Notamacropus eugenii: one gene and its partner. The protein of the gene in region 2 binds, or shares a complex with, the protein of the main gene of each other region. Links are inferred from orthologs where the notes say so. Each region holds a gene or a part of one and is shown on either strand. Other genes may lie near its edges. The genes, in order: FLT3LG and FLT3.

Evidence for each region.
Region 1: the proteins of FLT3 (region 2) and FLT3LG are in contact, whole or in part, in a crystal structure (PDB 7QDP), measured with the Homo sapiens proteins. The link is inferred for Notamacropus eugenii from reciprocal best matches to the Homo sapiens genes FLT3 and FLT3LG. Residues at the interface, in NP_004110.2 of Homo sapiens: Asp180, His279, Gly280, Phe281, Gly282, Met300, Ser301, Thr302, Tyr303, Asn306, Arg307, Met309, Arg311, Ser333; in NP_001191431.1 of Homo sapiens: His34, Ser35, Pro36, Ile37, Ser38, Ser39, Asp40, Lys44, Lys87, Glu99, Asn102, Thr103, Glu104, His106, Phe107.

Annotation. Positions count from the first base shown.
Region 1 is NC_092876.1:12,260,120-12,264,027, reverse strand, and holds FLT3LG (fms-related tyrosine kinase 3 ligand), read left to right. Parts: upstream 1-1,077; 5' UTR 1,078-1,160; exon of another isoform or gene 1,161-1,249; intron 1,250-1,354; exon of another isoform or gene 1,355-1,418; intron 1,419-1,550; 5' UTR 1,551-1,584; coding exon 1,585-1,617; intron 1,618-2,177; coding exon 2,178-2,300; intron 2,301-2,411; coding exon 2,412-2,465; intron 2,466-2,576; coding exon 2,577-2,720; intron 2,721-2,956; coding exon 2,957-3,095; intron 3,096-3,199; coding exon 3,200-3,537; downstream 3,538-3,908. UniProt on the Homo sapiens protein: Stimulates the proliferation of early hematopoietic cells by activating FLT3. Synergizes well with a number of other colony stimulating factors and interleukins. Required for the development of B cells, and dendritic cells (DCs).
Region 2 is NC_092876.1:196,313,908-196,317,815, forward strand, and holds the start of FLT3 (receptor-type tyrosine-protein kinase FLT3), read right to left. Parts: upstream 3,071-3,908; 5' UTR 2,771-3,070; coding exon 2,722-2,770; intron 1-2,721. UniProt on the Homo sapiens protein: Tyrosine-protein kinase that acts as a cell-surface receptor for the cytokine FLT3LG and regulates differentiation, proliferation and survival of hematopoietic progenitor cells and of dendritic cells.

The DNA of each region.
Region 1 (3,908 bases), about 180 Mb from region 2:
GCCCAGTAATGTACTCTCTGGATCAAAGGATATGAACATTTTAGTCACTTTATTTGCATGATTCCGGACTGCTTTCATAAAAAAGTTGTACCATTTGACAGCTTCACCAACAATGTACCAGCGTAGTGTGAAGGGTTTGAAGTGGTAAACAGCAAGGGTTATTTCATCTGTGAAATAATAGGAAGGCAGTCAGTCTGTAGCACCTTCTTTCACCTGCCTCTGTTCCCATTTCCCTTCTCTGACTGCATCTTTTACTCCCTCTCCCAACTTTTTTAGTGAATCTCTGTGTCTGTCTCTCTATGCCATTTCTTCTTCTCCTGTTTCTTCTCTTCCACCAGCTGTCTCTCTGACCCTTTCTCCCTGAATCTTGCCATCCTTATCAGTGCTTGTCTCCCATGTCTCCCTTCTCTCATCCCTGTCCCTCCCGTCTCTCTGAGCCCTGCGTGACTCTGCCTCTTCTTTCCCTGACCCTGTTTCCCTTTCTCCTGTCTCTGCCTCCCTTTGTCCCCACCTGCCTTTCCTCATCACCGTCTGTCCCTGTTTTCCTCTCCCAACATTATCTCCATTCCCCTTGCTTACATCCCTGTCTCTTGTCTTTGTCCCTCCTGGTTGGCCATTGCTGTCTATCTGTCTTCCTTTCTCCTCATTACTGGCAGTCCTACTCCCTCCCCTATCTCAATCTTTTCCCCTATCTCTGCCTCCCATATCCCCGTCTCCATCTGTCAGGAATACGCACAGTGAGGGGCCAGGCTGGGGCTGGGACGGTCATCTTGAGTTGGGCCTTCGCCCTGTGCCTGTTTGGGCACTGTCATTCTGGATTCAAAACCTCAGAGCACCAAGGGTTTTTTAGAGATTCCCCATTCCAACCCTGTCCTTTCTCAGAAGAGGAGAGAGCCTTGGATAGATCTGATAGATCAGGGTTGTAGGGCCTCTGCAGAGGCTACAACCCAGTGCTCCAACCCAGACCTCCAAACTCCCAGCTGATTCAGGCCTAAGAAAGGACCCAGGCGTCCCCTGCCTCCTGCAGCTCAACTCAAAGCCACCAGAGGGCTCCTCCCCCATGGATTCCCAAACTTTTCCCCAAAACATCTTTCACTTTCGATCTCTGATGTCTGGGCCCAGACCTGCCCTGGGCCTTCCCGGCCTGGACAGGGACCCTGGTGCGGGGCTGGGGCAGAATGCCTGGGTCCCAAAGGGGATAGAGGAGGGCAGCCTGGGTCCCCAAGGGGTCTGAGAAAGGAGTGCCTAGGTTCTTGATGGGGCTAAGATAGATTGCCTAGATCTCCATTAGGGTTTTGGGGGGATTGGCTATCTGAGGAGAGAGGATGGGGGAGACGATGCCTGGGTCTCCAAGGGGTTTGAGAAAGGGGGTGCCTGCGTTGCCAAGGGAACTGAGGCAAGGGATGCCTTCCTGGAAGGTTGGGCATGATTCACAGTAATGAGGCGGGGGCAGGAAACAGGGTGGGGGAGGAAACTTAGCCACATGAAGGGGCTGGGGGAGGGCACCCGGACGCCTGGGTCCCTGGCTGAGCCGGCTCTGTCCCCCCCAGGGCCCGGCAGCGGCATGAGGGGCCCCAACTCAAGATGACCGTCCCAGCCCCAGCCTGGCCCCTCACTGTGCGTATTCCTGACAGATGGAGACAGGGATATGGGAGGCAGAGATGGGGGAAAAGACTGAGATAGGGGAGGGAGTAGGACTATCAGTAATGAGGAGAAAGGAAGACAGATAGACAGCAATGGCCAACCAGGAGGGACAAAGACAAGAGACAAGGATGTAAGCAAGGGGAATGGAGATAATGTTGGGAGAGGAAAACAGGGACAGACGGTGATGAGGAAAGGCAGGTGGGGACAAAGGGAGGCAGAGACAGGAGAAAGGGAAACAGGGTCAGGGAAAGAAGAGGCAGAGTCACGCAGGGCTCAGAGAGACAGGAGGGACAGGGATGAGAGAAGGGAGACATGGGAGACAAGCACTGATAGGGATGGCAAGATTCAGGGAGAAAGGGAGGTAAAGGCAGAAGTGGGGAGACAGGACAAAGAGACACAGGGGTGGGGCAAAAGGGCGACGGAGGCGGTCAGAGTCAAGGAGATACATCCAGACAGAATGAGTACTGAATCAATGCCCATCTAGGGGAAGGGACCCAGGGCCTCTCCCCAGCTCTGTCTTCCCAACACCCCAGGCTTCCAGGCTGCTGCTCCTGCTCCTCCTGCTCCCCCAGGAAGTCACTGCCAGTATCGATGATACCTGCACCTTCCCAGACAGTCCCATCAGCTCCACCTTCCTCCAGGCCATCACCGATTTGGTGAGAGCTGCCTCTGACTGCCCTCCCTGACTCTCTGTTTTGGTCTTGAATGTTCTCTCTCTCTGTTTCTGACCCTTTGGATTTATTTCTCATGTCCATCTCTCCCTCCAGTCTGACTACATGCTCACGGATTACCCAGTGGATGTCCCAGATAATCTCCAAGTGGTGAGTCTGGGGGTGAGGCGGGGCGGGGGGCGGGGGAGGGGGGAGGAGAATTAGGGGTGGACCCAGGTATCCCTACTTCAAGGACTAAGACACCTAGGCATCTCTCCCTAGGATGAGCAGTGTTGGGCCCTGTGGCACTTGGCCTTGGCCAAGAAAACCCTGGAGCACCTGAAGCTGGTGGCAGGGAAAAAGTTGGAAGACCCCCTGGAGGCTGTGTACACTGAGGTCAACTTTGTCAGTCAATGCATCAACCAGGTCAGTCTCTTGCTCTCTGTCCCTGATCCTAAGGGCCTTCTGCCTCCTCAAGGTCTTTGGGTCCACCACAGCTATATGAAGAGATGTGGTGGTCTCAGGCCTGGGCAGCTTGGCTGGGAGACAAAGGGATGAGGAGGCCTTCATCAGTTGCCCCAAGCTGCTGCCAGGGCTGGTTCTGAGAAGGGGGGACTAGTATGGTGTGTGACGCCCCCCACCTCCCTTCCTCGGCTCCCCAGTCCTTTCCCAGCTGCCTCCGTTTCCGTAAAGCCAACATCTCTCACCTCCTCCTGGATGTCTCCAGACACTTGGGGGCCCTGCAGCCCCTCATTACTCGCCAGAGCTTCCGGCCCTGCCAACAGTATCGCTGCCAGCCAGGTGAGGTGTCCAGGTGGGAACCCCCTCCCTTCAGGAGGAGGACTGGGGCTCCAAAAGGGAAAGGGCATAGCTTCTCCTTAGTACTCCCCTCTCCCTTCCCACAGAGCCCTCTACTGTCTCCACACTCCCCTCACCGGGCAGTCTTGAGGCCCTGGGAAGCACCCTGAGACCACCCCAGTCCTCTAGCTTCCATCTGCTGTCCCTGGGGGGGCTGCCATTTCTGCTGCTGATCGTGGTGGCTGCCTGGTGGTGCAAACGACGAAAGAGGCGGTTGAGGCCACCAGGATCCCCCAAGTCCCAGACACCCCAGGTGAGCTTGGCTCAACTCGGTGTGGGTGGGGTAGCGGGTGCCCCCCACCATGTGCACAGACAGCAGCTGACTCTGCCCCTGGGGGCCGCGGCTAGGGCCCCCCAGACTCTGTCCGCCAGGATATACAGTTGATGGTGCTTTGAACGACGACCTTGAAGGCCAAACCCGGGAGCTGGGGCTACCTCCTGAGGAAGCCTTCCATAAGCAACCCAGCTTAAGACTGGCCTCATTCTCTTCTCCTTGGATGAGCTCGAGTTACCGTTCTCTTCTGGGGGGCTAAGGGACCCCCCAGGCGGTGCCTGCGGTCCCCTTTTCCTCCTCCAGAGGGGTACCTGCAGGCTACCTTGGGGCCAGCCCACCTTGTGTACAAAGCTCTGAGGATGTATATAAAACGTTTTCTAATAGCTTTTGTTGGGTGGAATCTGTGGACAGAGACGGGGCAAGGCAGGAGATGCCCCGGCCGACCTCAGACCGGGATCTGGAGGCTGGTCACCGGCTTGGGC
Region 2 (3,908 bases):
CTATTATGGGGGCAGGAGGTATTTTGAAGAGAAATAGGATGATACCCCATCTACCAAAGACAGGTTCTGGTTGCACACAAAAATTGAGATATAAACAATATAAAATGATGGATTAGAATGATCTTCTGGTATTCCACAGTAAATAAAATATTCTTGGACTAGATAACCTTTAGAGATATCTTCCAACTTGAACTTTTATGGTTTTCCATTTTACAGTTGAGGAAACTGAGGCAAATAAAGGTTAAGTGACTTGCCCAGAGTTACATAACTATTAAGTGTCTAAGACTGGATTTCAACTCATTTTTACTTTGTAAAAGCAAAACATGGCCAATTAATTTATTCAAGGAAAAATTTCTATAAATGGCTTATTCCCAAGAATTATAAACAGTCTCCAAATCTTTTTAATGCATTGGTCAGATCACATCATTCCCTAGATCAAAGACTCTCAGCAGCTCACTACTACCTACCTACTCAATCTTAGTACTGTGGAAAGGAAAGCAGTCAAAAGACTTATATGGGAGTCCTAGTTCTGCCTTATACTACTTGGATGACCTTAAGCAAATCACTATTTTTCTGAGCCTCAGTTTCTTTATTTATAAAATGAGGATCTCAATGATCTAAGGTCCCTTTTAGCTCTAATATTCTGCTATCCTGTATATAAAATATAAATTCCAATTTGGCTACAATTTGCCTTATAGTTTTATGTACCTTTTCCATATCTCCAACTATGGAAATCCTTCTCCTTCAAGGCCCCAGACCAAAATCAAGTATCACACGCTTCCTCATTTCTCTTTCTGACTGCTCACATTCCGAGGCCAGAGTTCAACTACACATAATTCTTCCTTTCTTAAATCACAGTCCATTCCATTATGCACTTAATCATTTTTCTAACTTCAGTCTTTGTGCATATCTTACTACCCTTCTTCCCAATTAGATTTTAAGGTCCTTGAGAACAAAGGCTACTATTTTGAACCCCCACAAAGTGATCACAAAGGCTGGCATGTAGTAGTAGTAGTAGTGGTGGTGGTGGTGGTAGTGATACTGGTAGTAGTAGTAGTAGCTGTTGTTATTGTCAATTGGTCTGGACTTATGATTTTATTGATATGGCTAAATCCCAGTGTGCAAATTCCATCCATCTATGCAGATTGGCAATTCATCTCTAATTTAATAGTTTTTTTTAAGAGAATTTTCTGGGACATTAAGAAGTTAAGTGACTTTCCCATGGTTACACAATTACTATAAGTCAGAGACAGGACTGCAACAAATGCTTTCTGATAACAAATGCTCTTTGCACTATATAAGAATTGAGTAGATAGAGCTTCTGAGTAAAACAAACCCCTTGTCCACTCTACAACACAACGGCTTAATAATCACTTAGCATTTGTTGACTTGAATCCAGATGTTCTGGAATAATTAATTCATCTCACTCCCAAGAAGCATTTTAATGCAGCAAATCTTTTATTGAACAGGGTGGGGCCCCCAGTAAGCTTTGAGGGCAGAGTTAGTCAGTAGCTCTCTTCCTTTCTCTAGGGTCTCAACCTGAGTTTTTAACTGCTGAGGTTTGGGATAGATTGGAAAAAGATTTTGGTAGATTTTCACAGTTTTCTGAGGAAAGTGACAGAAACAAAGTTGGGGGGGGGGGGGGTGTTTCGAAATACAGACCTCAAGGTCATTAAAAGAAGCTTTCATCTAAAACCTGTATTTTAAAGCTGCAAAAAACTTTGGAAATGGTCTAGTCTAGTCCAACATCCTTACTTTACAGATGAGGAAATTGAGATCCAGAAAAATTAAGAGATTAACAGTCAGATAGAAGAAGATTCAAAACCAACTCCAAACCCTTTCCATTACAGCTGCTTCACCTAGCTCGAGTAAAACTACTGATATTTGGAGAAACAATAATTTAGTACTTAAATTATAATTGTATACTTTTAAATTTCTATTTAAACAAAGTGTTTTCACTGTCTGATAATTGTTTTTCGAATCTTTTTTTTTTTTTGGAAGAATTTTTTGGTCAGGGTGAAAGAGTGCTGAGAGCGTGTTTTCCCCCACAGTTCGTTCCATTACCAAAACCATCAGGGAGAGACGGATGCCCCTGCGCACCTCCCCGTTGTACTCTCCCATGAAGTCCACAACTAAACCATCAGCTGCCAGCTCACCCCAACCTCGGAGTCCGATTTCTCCCATCAGACCCCGGACGCCAAACTCCCGCGGCCACACAGTGCCCCCAGGCGGGTATGGACCCGGGAGAAATGGGAGTTTCTCTGGGGACTGACGGGGGATGGGGGGAGTTCAACGGGACGAGACTTGAGAAGAGATGGCCGGGAAACAGAGTACGCCGTTTAGGGATGGAAGAAAGAGCAAGAGGCGTGAGTTCCAGAGGAAGGAAAAGGAATGAACGAAAGCGAAAAGCAAGAAACGGAGGAAAAGTTCGAAGCGATTGGAGGGGGAAGGAGAAGGCCGGATGAGGAGGGTCAGATGAAAAAGAGGAGGGGCAAGGAAGACGCCAGAAAATCGGGGAAGAAAGGAAGGCAAAGGAGTGGTGCAAAGCGATTGAAAGAGAGCGCAAAATGGAGCTGGAGAGAGAGTGCGCATGGGACTGGGGAGGCAGGCAAAAAGTGGGCAGGAGGGAAAGAAAGGAGAGCCAGCGGCGGTGGAGCGAAGGAAGGAGGGAGCGCGAAGGAAGGAGGCTGAGACCGTGGCTCTGCTAGGGGAGGTCCTTACCAAGTAGTCGGAGCTGGCCGCGGCCGCCGTGGAGCCCGAACACCAGCATGGCCTCCCGTGCCACAGGGGTCCCCCAGGCCGGCGGCTGCGGGCCCGCAGCCCGCAGATCCCTCCCCAGTCTGGCGCGCCAAGCGCTGCAGGTGGCTCTTAAGGCTGCGCGTCACCAACCACAAATTCCCTCGTAACTGCTGCAAAGAAGAGGAGTGGGGGAAACCCTGCTGTACTGGTGCTTCTTGTAAGGACCGCGTGCAGAGCCCAGGGGCTGGACCAGGAGGGATGCAGCTGGAGTTGAGAGTTGGAAATACTTTGCTGGGGGAAGTGTCCGACCTGCCCGGCAGAGCCCCAAGTGCAAAGAAAGTGGCGCTGGCATGGGGAGACTGTGGGCGCGGCTTTAAAGTTTGCATACTTATATACAGTATCCCAGATGCGCCTCATAACCACTCTATGACAGGTATCGATTATCCCCATTTTGAGAAAATCGAGACTCATAGAGGCAAAGGGACTTGCCAGTGGTCATACAGAGAATACCAAAGGCAGGATTTGAAACTAGATCTTTCTGACTTCGAATCCATCACTATACATTAATACTACTATTTCTGGTTTCTCTGTAAAGGAGCTGGTACTTTCGTGGTGGGCCACGAAGTGAATGTTTAGCCTATCATGATGGAGTTGGAGTCAGGGAAACCCAGGTCTAAATCGTATTCTGATACTTATTAACTCTGTAACCATAAGTATTTCTCTGAGACTTTGTTTCCTCACCTTTAAATTATCTATATTATCTACTTCAAAGAGTTGTTGTGAGACTAAAATAATGTGTGTAAAACACTTTTCATTGAAAACTGAAGTGGTGGGGGTTGAAACAATTTGCACAGGATCACACAGGTAGTAAACTTCGCGTGCAGGATTTAAATGCAGGGTCTCTGACTTCAGAGCCTGTGCTCTTTTCACTGTGCCTCTGGGCTGCTAGGAAAAACAGCATTCAAGGAAGACAGCTAAATACAACTAGAAAGGAAAATCTTTGCCCCTTCCCTATAAAATAAAATCATGAGCTGCATACATTCCAAAGTAAATTAGAAACTATGGTTGGGTTATCTATGCTATGCTGTGGGATCAGAAAACTGTAAATTGAATGTGATTTTCTAATTTGTATGAGAATTCAACACACAGTGTAGCAAATAAACACCTGA